3 linked regions of the Astyanax mexicanus genome follow. The protein of the gene in region 3 binds, or shares a complex with, the protein of the main gene of each other region. Links are inferred from orthologs where the notes say so. Each region holds a gene or a part of one and is shown on either strand. Other genes may lie near its edges. The genes, in order: ahi1, tmem231 and mks1.

Region 1 (3,756 bases), on a different chromosome or scaffold from region 3:
ATAAATCTTACAGTTTCACTAGAATGACTGGCAGGTGTTACATGACTTACCATCTTTTCTTTTCTTCTTCTTTTTTCCTTTGGGTTTTGCTGTATCTACGGTGTCTTCTTCTACAGCATCACCTTGAATAGGCTCCTTTATTTTCTCAAATTCAGAATGGCTGTGGTGAAATTTCAATGGAAAAAAAATATATAAAAGCTTTGATAACTGGGTAATGTAAAAACAAAGAATAAGGATCACTTGCATTATATGCAATATTTGCAATATGCTTTAAAACCTAAGGAACAAGATCTTTCTCTCTCACACACACACACACACACACAAACGACTAAAAAACAAATGCTTTCTGTAAATTACCTTTCATCCTCATCACTACCCCTCAGGTTCTTCTTCTTTTTCTTCTTCTTTCCGAGCTCATTGTTTAATACTGAGGTTTCCTGGCTCCTGGGCAACTTTTCATCTTGTCTGTTATGAGTTGTTTTCTTTATAGCCCTCTCCTCATCTTGACTAATCTGTTGCTGATATTCTTTGAGAAGATCATCTTCAGGTTCAGAGCCTGCGTTGTGTCCACTATCTCTGTTTCCGCCTCTGCTCTTCCCTCTTTTACCCTTTCTGTTCTGCCCCCAGTCTGGTTCAACAGTGACTTTTGTTTCAGAGTTTGCAGCATTTCTGTCTGTGTCTACTTCATCCTGAACAAGTGGGTGTGGGGGCAGCTTTCTTTTAGTCTTCTTCTTTCCTGAGGCCAGTGGGGACTTCTCTCCATTTACATTATTGCTGACATTGATCTTCTCTGACACCTCGACCTCCCTGCGTCTGTTCTTAGTGTACCTTGGGCTACCCTGTGTAGGGTCATACGTGTTATTGAGAATGGTCTCATCTTCTTCTGTGGTTTTACTTAAATCCAAGTTTTTGCTCAATGTCTGAAGCTAAAAGGGATTACAAGAACAAATCAAGTTTTAAAATATGACAGAGTAAGATATTGTTGTTTCATGTTTCATGTTTTTTTTCTGCCATTTTTTTAGTCAGCTTTATGAGGTAGTCACCTGGAATGACTTTCAGGTAACAGCTGTGCTGAACTTGTCAAGAGATAATTGCTTGAATTTCTTGCCCTCTTAAAAAGTTTGAGAGCATCAGTTGTGTTGTGAAGATGTAGACTTGGTATATATTAAATAGCCCTATTTGAGTAATGTTTTAATTCATATTATGGCAAGACCTCTCAACTAAGGAAGGAAAAAAAAATACTTTAGAAATACTTTAAAAAATTAAATCCGAAACTTTGAAAGCATCCTCAAATGCACTTGCAAAGACCAATCAAAACATTATGATAAAACTGGCACTCATTAGGACCAATAAGTTCAGTTACCAGCCTCAGAACTGCAGGTTAACAGCACCCCAGATAAGAGCCACCTCAATGCTTCACAGAGTATTTTGGTTTGTTAAACACTTGGAAGTTTACTACATGATTCCTTATGTGTTCATTCATAGTCTGGATGACTTCAGTATTCATTAACATTGTAGGGGAAAAAATAACAAAAAACAGACAAACTTTTAGCTGGTACTTTATTTATCAAGACTGAGAGAAAATAATTGTATTATTATTATTATTTTATTATTATTTCATATTTGATAGCCCTAAACATTCCATAACCACGTAACCTACCACAACATTCTCCTGCAGCTCGACTCCTCGCTGTTTGGACTTCTTTTTCTCTGAGGGAGGGTTTGTGTATCTCTTTAACACCTCGTCAAAACGGGCTCTAGTCTTTGCTCTCACATCACTCTGACCTGTTCATCACAAACAGTATTAGTTGCCCGTCCACATGCAAGGTAATCAGTATATGTTTGGATTGGTATGGTTTGGATGGTAACATTAATTAAAGTGTGATTACCTGCCGGCATCCTCAAGCACTGGGAGCAAAGTCATTCTGTGCACAAAAGATCCCTGAAACTGAAAACATAGGTTAACGTTATTTATCTTAGCTAGTTAAACTGTCAAACAAAGCAGGAGAAGTAACTTAGTTAACCTATCTAGTTTAGCTAGCCGATTATTGGTTCAAATGTAGTTAGCTAGCTAGATTGTTGCTAGCTAACGAGACAGCCAGTGTTTTGAATCCAGAAGAAGCTTTAATTAGCCTTTAGTGAATTCTATTGGCTTAAGCTGGTTAAAATAGCTCGGTACAGGAGTCATGATGTAAGGCAGCTTGCTAGCCTAGCTTAGGTAACCGAGCTAGCTGATCAGCTAACCGCGAAATCAATCTTGTCTGGTGCTGACTTTGCTGAGTTAACGCTAGCTAGCTCTACTGCAGTACCAAACACTAAATAAGCTACACTCATAGAGAAAAAGGGGCCACAGGCCATTTTCAGTTTCTAAACTCCACTCAACAACAGAACTTGCTGTGCCTGGTTTAACATTCCCGGCTATAACGGCGCCCGAGAGGACATTAGCCGCCCCCTGAGAATGAATCTCCGCTCTCTCACTGAAAACACTGTCCCATAGATTAGCAGGACTGCTAGCTGGCTAACGTGTTACTACAGTAGGATACAGCCTAGCCAGTTAATTCCTTAACTAACAGCGACCCCAGTGTAACAGCCCGCCTTTTTTTAGATGGGTCGCGTAGTTAATAAAAGTGTCTGTTGTACAAAACAGGATTATTTACCTGAAAATCAAACCATATCCTATGAAAACGTTTACAGTCCGTTAGCCGCTGACTCGTTGCGATGGCAGCCAACAATAAACAAGTTTTAGCCCCGCCCCTTGTGTGTTGTTACCTCAAAGACAGCCAATAAAAAGCGGAATCAGACTGCGCATTCTGGTGGAACAAACAGACATGCGCAACGTGTCTGACTCTCACCAGCCAGCGTTAGAGCATCTAAAAGTGTATCTAAAAATAATTGAATATCATTGAAAAAAGTAACTTTATTTCAGTAATTCAGTTTAAAATGTGAAACTCATGTATTATACAGATGTATTACACAGAGAGTGACATATTTTATGCGTTTATTTATTTTATTGTTGATGATTATGGCGTACAGCCAATAAAAACCCAGAAATCAGTGCCTCTGAATTTTTTTAAATTATATAAGACTAATTGATACTTTTTGCCCTGTGGTCAGTGTGTCAGGTCCTGCTGGAAAATGATATCCGCATCTCCATAACAGCTGTCAGAGGGAGAGTGAAGCAGAGGGAAAAAACACATAACACAGTGGACCAACAACAGCAGATGACACCTCTCCAAACCTTCACTCAGTGTGGATTCACACTAGACCTTAAGCAGCTTAGACTGTGCACGTCTCCACTCTTCCTCCAGACTCTGGTCCCTTGATTTCCAAATAAAATGCAGAATTTACTGTTGATCTGTGATGGTTTGGAGAGCCATGTCATTTGCTGGTGTTGGTCCACTGTGTTATATCAAGTCCAAAGTCAGTGCAGCTTCTACAAGGAGATCCGTGATGCAGATTTAATTTTACACTTTTAAATTTACACTGTTTTTGAGGGTTTTATTGGCTGTAAGCCATAATCATCAACAATATAAGAAATAAATGCTTAAAATATATCACTCTGTGTGTAAGACATCTAAATAATATACGAGTTTCACATTTTAAACTGGATTACTGAAATAAATTAACTTTTTAATGATTATCTATTTTTTGGGTTGCACTAATATATTGTGAACTTTCATATTGACACCTTCCTAAAATAACTGCCCAACTCAAGTCTTAAGTTTTTTGAGAAAACATATGAGAGTGGTTAAAATT
Region 2 (3,756 bases), on a different chromosome or scaffold from region 3:
AGCAGCGGTGTCAACACTCCGCCTGCATTAGCCTTAGCACTAGCATTAGCTTTAGCACTGCTGGACGGACGGCTGACGTCATGCAGGTCATACCAACCAGCTCTGTGGGGGATGTGCCGAAACAGGACTCGGGTTAAATCCTGCACCCGGTGACCAACCACATTCCCCAAAGATTTTGATTTGTAAATATGTAAATATTGTTTGTATTATATTAAGCTTGAAATATACATTTAACGCATAATTCATATTATAACACATAGTTTTATTATTTGTGGGAAGCACCTTTATCCTAAAAAGCATTAACTTGAAAAGTGTTAAAAGAGCCTTAATCATTTAAAACCTTTAAGTGAACGTTGATTCAATTCAGGTAGCCAATGTTAGATAAAGGTTGTATAATCAATATTATATATATATATATATATATATATATATATATATATATATATATATATATATATATATATATATATATATATATATATATATATATATAAGGTTTAGTGTTAGTGTTCTTTGATATAAGTGGGAGGGTGGCCTACAGGCTTGTTTTTTTTTTTTTTACATTTATATTTATCCTTACAACTGAATATGGGCTTTTCATATTGTTTAGCAATTGAAAAAAAAAATAATGTACGTTCACCATAATTCTGAATATATGTCTGGAAAACCTTTTATTAGGACATGTTTGTTAAATGTAAATTATCATTGTATATATGTTTTTTTTATTGTCCTTTATTTTATTTATCGTATTAATAATTGTCTTGCATTCTAATCAGTCATGAAATCAAGTGGACCAAATAGTCTGAAATGTCCAATTCAGTAATCAGATCAGTTTCACACACAGTATACCAGAAACCAGGAGAGCTATGTCCAGACGTTTGTCTCTAACCATTGTTTTAAATATTGTCATAAAAAAAAAAATTAGGCCTAATATACTATTAAGGCTATTTATTGGTTAATGAGTATGTTATAAATACTGGTAATTCTGTGGCCTTTGTTATGCCCATATTTGGGCTTCAGCTTCTTAGCTTGATTTTCAGTGGCAGAGTTCATTTTTAAATCACCTATATGTTCTGTGGTGATTAAATACAGAATATAACACTTTTGTGTACGTGTTTCTCCTGCACATCACGTTAAAATAACATTCCTGGAACACTATCTGTAATGTTCCTTCCTGGGACCTTTTTTAAAACGTTGCAAAAAAAAAAGTAATAAATCTGTTTTAAATGGTAGCTTTATTTTGGTATGATTTAAGTTTTTTGCTAAGAGGTGGAATAATAAATATATTTGACAACAGAGGGGGTGGGGCGTGGGTGGCCATGGTAACTGTGGGCGGATGTTCGCTTTCTGTTTCCTGGAGGCGGTCATGGTAACGCTGGGACGCTTCGCTTCAGGAGCAGTTACCGTTAGCATTAGCATTAGCATGGCTTTTAAACCCGAATTAGGCACTGCACGTCTGCGGCCGAACTGATAGATACAGTACATTTAATCCGAATTAAATACGAGAGAAACCGATTCTACAGCACACAACACACCTTAACACATCTCCATTACAGCTTAACCTTAACCAATGCTAACCAGAACAGCCCCACTGTTATTTCTCAGTAGGTTTTAACTGTTCTTCAGAGCGAGTTTAGAACTGTTCTTCAGAGCGAGTTCAGAACAGCGAGGAGGGTTTCAGTGATGGCTTTTTATGAAGTGTACTCCCACCCTGCTTTAATAAGATATAAAACCAATGTGTGTACTCGCGCCACCCTGTTCGTGCTGATGGTTTTCTGTCTTACGTACATCCCGCCACTGCTGGTCGCCTACAAGAGCCAAGGTAAGTGTTCACTACAGCAGCACCTCATTAATACAGCTGGTATACTGTAAGAATTTAGTATATTAACCCCGTGAACTTGCTCATGGACTTACTTAATATACTGGCTGTGCTGACTAGCTTATGAACTCCAGGAGCTCATGTTAAACAGTGCATGGCTTTACTGACTGACACCTCCAATACAGTGCAGCATTTCATCAGTAACTGATGTTTTTTTTCTTTGTTTGCAGGATTCTGGCTGAAGAGAAGCACATATGAGGAGCAGCCGGTTGTGCAGTTCCAGTACCAGATGTTAATGATTGGAGCCACTGGAACAGCAGGAGAATTTGTGGCGTGGAGCACTTTTCCTGACTTTAACCGTCTGCTGGGAAGCAACCTTCGCATCCCTGCAGTGTCTGTAAGTACTACAGACACAGAAATGTACACAAAAGTTTGAATACCACAAACTAGCTAGCACACAACATGTTCCCAGAGTTCACCAGAGCATCACAAACAAAATGTTATTTACTCATAAACACAGGTTCTTTTCTTTGGAAGGCGGTGGATATAATTTTTATGGTGCCTCACCAACACTAGATAGCTTTGGTCTGAGTAGCTCCAAATAACTAAATAGCTTTTGGAGTGTTCGGTTAACACAGCTAGATAGACAGTACAAAGGTGGAAGAAACAAACTTTTGACAGTGGGTGTGGGCATATGAAATAAGTGTATTATGTTTAAAAGCACATGTTTGTGTTTTGCAGGTCAAGGAGGAGGACAGCAATCAGGATGGAAAATCAGACCGGCTGCGTCTCCAGCTCAGTGTTCCACTGAAAGCAGAAGAGCAGATTTACAGCATTCAGCTACTCCTCACCTTCTCATACCAGTTGTTTGTGTGTATCAGCACAGTACCACAAAAACACACCCTAACCCTTAATTTAGGGCAAACTGTCCCAAAATTATTCAACAAAATCCCACAAACACAAGCAAATGCCACCCTACGCCAAATACAGTCCAATGGCAGAAATCACCTCAACTCTACAAAAAACTCTAATACCAAATATATAATAAAACACTTACAAATGCCAGCAGACACTAGGTAATGCCATCAAATGTAATCAGTTTGCATCATACAATATTACATAGCAACAAACATCAGGTGTCAATAGCTGCCATCGAACCAACCAACAATCATCAAAAAATACACTCCACACTCCAACAAACATTAGTAAACAAAACACTGGGTTGTTGTGCCATACATATTTCTGATGCTTTTCTCACTGCATTTGCAATTTTTTTTTTCACTTGATTGAACAAGTGGAACTGTCAGGTTGAATTCATGTCACTCTTTTTGTAGCGGATGTCCACTGTAGTGATGCAGTCTATGGCCTTTATTCAGCACTCCTCCTCCGTTCCTGGATCACAGCTGTTCATCAATGGGGACCTGAGGCTCCACCAACAGATCCCACTGCCACACAGAGGTCTACATGCTGCCTACAATGTGAGAGTTTGTGTTCATACTTTACACCACACTTTTAAATGCTTTTTGTAGGTGTGTTTACGTGCTATATTTCTTTTTAGGTGTCAGTGGTCGAAACAGGGAGTCCCTTCGCTACTTCCTATGACTTGGCCAGCATCATCAGAGCCTATCAAGCAAGAAACTGTAAGAGAAAGTGTTTATATGTATTTGTATATGTCTGTGTTGTAAATTGATAGTTTCCAAAGCAAATATTCCTCCTTAATTCAGTTTTTCTCCTTAATTCAAATGTAAATGTTCAGTCGTAACTCACATTTAATGCCCGTTGAGACGCTTATACAGTGCCCTTCAAAAGTATTTTATTCAAACAATAAATAGCACAGAATGTCTACACTCAGTTTCAGATCTGCAGACTGTGCATTTAAAGTTAGAGAAGTAACCAACATGAAAACCAGCTGTCTATGAGTAAAAAACAAGCAACTG
Region 3 (3,756 bases):
AACTCCAAAAAATGAATAGAGGGTAGTAGTTAGTAGTTAGCAGTAAACACGTTTAACTAGCTAAGCTAAATAACATCAGCTAACTACTGTATCTCTATAACGTTAGCTCTCAATGGATTTACCATGGCTAGCTGTCTAGTTAGCCAACGTAGCTAACGTTACCACGTATTCATTCAGTATGAATACGGTTTAGCTGGATAAAACACATCGTTGTTACAAAAACGGTCACCTAAGTTTGTTTTAAATCAGACTCCAAGCCATTTAGTAACTAACTAGCCTAGCCTAGCCAACTCTAACGCTACTGTTACTGAAGCGAAGCTGGTTCAGGGAGAGCCTGCCCACAGCTCCACCGTTATAATCAGAAAATGACCTCAAAACGCTAGAGGGAGCCCGCGAGGAAGACCTCAATGAATGGGAGCGAATGGCGCTAAACGGTTAAAAACTCTAATGTAAAATATTTCCTAACTGCTTTACCGAAGTATTCTGTTACATTTAGAAAGTATACTGACGTGTTTTGCCAAAAAGCTAAATAAAACCTACCTATATATTTCTATGTTTCTCCAGCAAACGGATTTTAAGCAGTAATCACGCTAGCATTACAGCTAATGTGAGCTGATGCTGGACAAGTTATAATAGTGCATCTCAAATAAAAAATAGAATATTAATGAAAAGTTACTTTATTTCAGTAATTCAGTTAAAAATGTGAAACACAGTATTACACACAGAGTGATTATTTTAAGTGTTTATTTCTTTTATTGATGATTATGGCTTACAGCCAGTGGAAAAACAAAAATATAGTACCAATATAAGACCAATTGGTACTTTTGGCCGTGTGGGCAGTGTGCCTGATGGAAAATGAAATCCGTATTTCCGTAAAAGTTGTCAGCAGAGGGAAAAATGAAGTGAGAAAACACTACACTGACTTTGGACTTTGGACACAGTGGACCAACACCAGAAGATAACATGGCTTTCCAGACTATCACTGATTGTGGAAACTTCACTCTAGACCTCAAGCAGCTTGGACTCTGTGTCTCTCCACTCTTCTTCCAGACTCTGATCCCTTGATTTGCTAATGGTCAATGATGGTTTGGAGAGCCATGTCATCTGCTGGTGTTGATCCAATTTGTTATATCAAGTCCAAAGTCAGTGCAGTGTTTTCCTGGAAAATCTTACAACACTTCATTCTTCTCTCTGCTGACAGATGTAATGGAGATGCGGATTTTATTTTCCAGCAGGACGTGGCACACTGCCCACACTGCGAAAGGTACCAATTGGTCTTATATCATATTCTGAGACACTGATTTTTAAGTTTTCATTAGCTGTACACCATAATCATCAACAATAAAATAGAACACTGTGTGTGTAATACATCTATATAATATATGAATTTTACATTTTGAACTGAATTACTAAACTTTTCAATGATATTCATTTTTTTTAGATGAACTAGTATAGCTAGCAAGATACCTGAGTTTAAAAGTCTTAAAATTTAAACTCAGGTATCTTGTACTCAGGTATTTTTGTACTTAACCTCTTCTATTATTTGCACTTCAATATTGTAAGTCGCTTTGGACAAAAGCGTCTGCCAAATGTAATGTAATGTAATGTAATGTAAAATTGGGGTTTAAACATTTTTATGTCTTCGGTACTAAAACATCTGAAGTTCTATGAAAATATAAAACTTATTTATACAAACATTCATAAACTATGATTTTGCTCAAACGCTAAAGGTACCCATTCATTTTTATTTTGGAATCACCCTGGAGCGCCCTCTGGTGTCTGACAAACCCGAAAGAGACCACTGAAGTAGGTAGTCTCCTCTGTAGAGGGTCTCTGACAAAGCAGCATTTAAGCTTTAGCGCACACGCACGTGGAAAGGAGTTCCGGTCACCTTCGCCCAGATCCCCCAATAGGAGCTCTGGTTAATGGGCGCGCCTCGAATCGACTCCTTGCCCCCTACGTAGTGAAAATTCGAACACCCCTTTTTTAGGGTTGGGTGGGCTTTTTTCTAAGGTGGCCGAGTGAAATGACCAGCCCGGTATAATACTATGATAAATAAATAATACTTTATTTATTTATTTATACATACTTTGAGAATAATATTTATTCTTCATTTTATTTTAGCTTTAGTGTTTTGAACACTGGCATGCTGTTTACTAGCAACTGCTTGAAAGCTGGATGTCAGTCAAGATCAGTGACTAATCTAGTGCCCATTATGAACAGAGTACATTGTGTTTAGCTAAATAACCACAAACATCTTTTTTTTTAACCACAAACATCATTAGCTATCTGTGTTTGCATTTATGACTTAAACAGGCTACCTACACTTGTTCCCTAAAAAAGTCAAATTGAGACTTACCCTTTGTTAGAGTTTACGCAAAGAATCTTTAGAGGGGAGAATACCCACTCGAGAATTTGTTACGGCTTTGTCACAGCACCAGAGGGCGCACCTTGACTGAGTCCAAAATGAGTGGATTCTTATGGAGGAATTTAGAAAAATCAGAGTTATAAATGTTACTTTCTATATTTAAAGAAATGCCTTGAATTGGGACTTTTTCACAAATTGATTATTGTGTTTATCAAAACTAGATTGGCTTCCAGTCTATTTTAGGATAGATTTTAAAGTACTGCTATTAGTTTTAAGGCATTACATGGATTGGCACCATCATAAATTACAGATTGTCTATCTCTATATGTTTCAAGTCATTGTTTAAGATCAAGCACTGCAAGTCTGCTTACAGTACCTAAAATTAATAAGAACCAAAAAGTGGGGGGGGGGGGATTATGTTTTTTATGCACCAAAGAAATATAACAGCTTACAAATAGAGATTAGACAGAGTCAGAAAACAGTTTCAAAAAGTATCTGAAGACATATATCTATAATCTTTTATTTTAATAATTGATTTGTTCATTTTATCATATATTATTTTATAGTTTGTATATATATTTTATATCTGCAATCTTTTGCAATCTTACTTTACTTTTTTATTTGCTCTTTTTGTCATTTTACACTGCATTTCTATTTATATATTTTTATTATTGTTTAACGTTGATTTTATTGCATTTTATCTAGTAAATTTTAATTTACTTGTTTCTTTTATTACTTTTCTAAAGTTTTAACCTCTTAGCTCCATTTACATTATTCATTTAGGACTCGCGGGCTCCCTCTAGCGGTTCCTTGTCGTTTAATGCTGCAGCGATTCTGCTTGTTAAATGATCAGGCTCTCTATAAACTGCCTCTTGCCAAAGACTTTTTACAGGCAAGACAGTTCACTTGACCGCCATCTCGCGACGCTTATGATCTTCTCGTGCAAGACCAGCCTCCTATCTGTTTGAATGGGAAGAGACCAAAATACTCTAAATAGAAGGCATAATTACAAGTTTAACATCATATTTTACATTACTGATAAAATTGACAAATATATAATTAAAACAATGTTTAACGTTTTTTACAAAAATGTACAAAAAACGTCTTTTTTCGGTTTGTTATGGCTACTGCGCCTGCGCACAACTCCACACTTAGCACTAGCAGCAAGCTGAGTGGCTCTCATTAGTACAGCGGTGAGTGGTCTGTCTCCTCAATGATAGGATCTCTGCTCTGGTTTACGGCGCAGTACTCAGCCCTACGGTTTGTTTCCAAGCAACAAGACGCTAATGTGAGATTAGCCCGTTAGCTAGTTAGTTAGCGTTGGCTAACCTAGCCCATTTACTAGACTATTTTTCACATGTAAAATAGAGTTCTGTGGACTGAGTGTG

Evidence for each region.
Region 1: mks1 (region 3) and ahi1 share a complex: the UniProt entries of both Homo sapiens proteins name them as parts of the tectonic-like complex. The link is inferred for Astyanax mexicanus from reciprocal best matches to the Homo sapiens genes MKS1 and AHI1.
Region 2: mks1 (region 3) and tmem231 share a complex: the UniProt entries of both Homo sapiens proteins name them as parts of the tectonic-like complex. The link is inferred for Astyanax mexicanus from reciprocal best matches to the Homo sapiens genes MKS1 and TMEM231.

Annotation. Positions count from the first base shown.
Region 1 is NC_064421.1:18,203,857-18,207,612, forward strand, and holds the start of ahi1 (jouberin), read right to left. Parts: upstream 2,767-3,756; 5' UTR 2,658-2,766; intron 1,949-2,657; 5' UTR 1,900-1,948; coding exon 1,890-1,899; intron 1,786-1,889; coding exon 1,661-1,785; intron 927-1,660; coding exon 358-926; intron 161-357; coding exon 51-160; intron 1-50. UniProt on the Homo sapiens protein: Involved in vesicle trafficking and required for ciliogenesis, formation of primary non-motile cilium, and recruitment of RAB8A to the basal body of primary cilium.
Region 2 is NC_064417.1:10,976,275-10,980,030, forward strand, and holds the start of tmem231 (transmembrane protein 231), read left to right. Parts: upstream 1-1,336; 5' UTR 1,337-1,683; coding exon 1,684-1,822; intron 1,823-2,049; coding exon 2,050-2,216; intron 2,217-2,560; coding exon 2,561-2,689; intron 2,690-3,153; coding exon 3,154-3,297; intron 3,298-3,377; coding exon 3,378-3,459; intron 3,460-3,756. UniProt on the Homo sapiens protein: Transmembrane component of the tectonic-like complex, a complex localized at the transition zone of primary cilia and acting as a barrier that prevents diffusion of transmembrane proteins between the cilia and plasma membranes.
Region 3 is NC_064408.1:26,070,638-26,074,393, forward strand, and holds the start of mks1 (Meckel syndrome type 1 protein), read left to right. Parts: upstream 1-1,008; 5' UTR 1,009-1,079; coding exon 1,080-1,264; intron 1,265-3,555; exon of another isoform or gene 3,556-3,581; coding exon of another isoform or gene 3,582-3,628; intron 3,629-3,634; exon of another isoform or gene 3,635-3,756. UniProt on the Homo sapiens protein: Component of the tectonic-like complex, a complex localized at the transition zone of primary cilia and acting as a barrier that prevents diffusion of transmembrane proteins between the cilia and plasma membranes.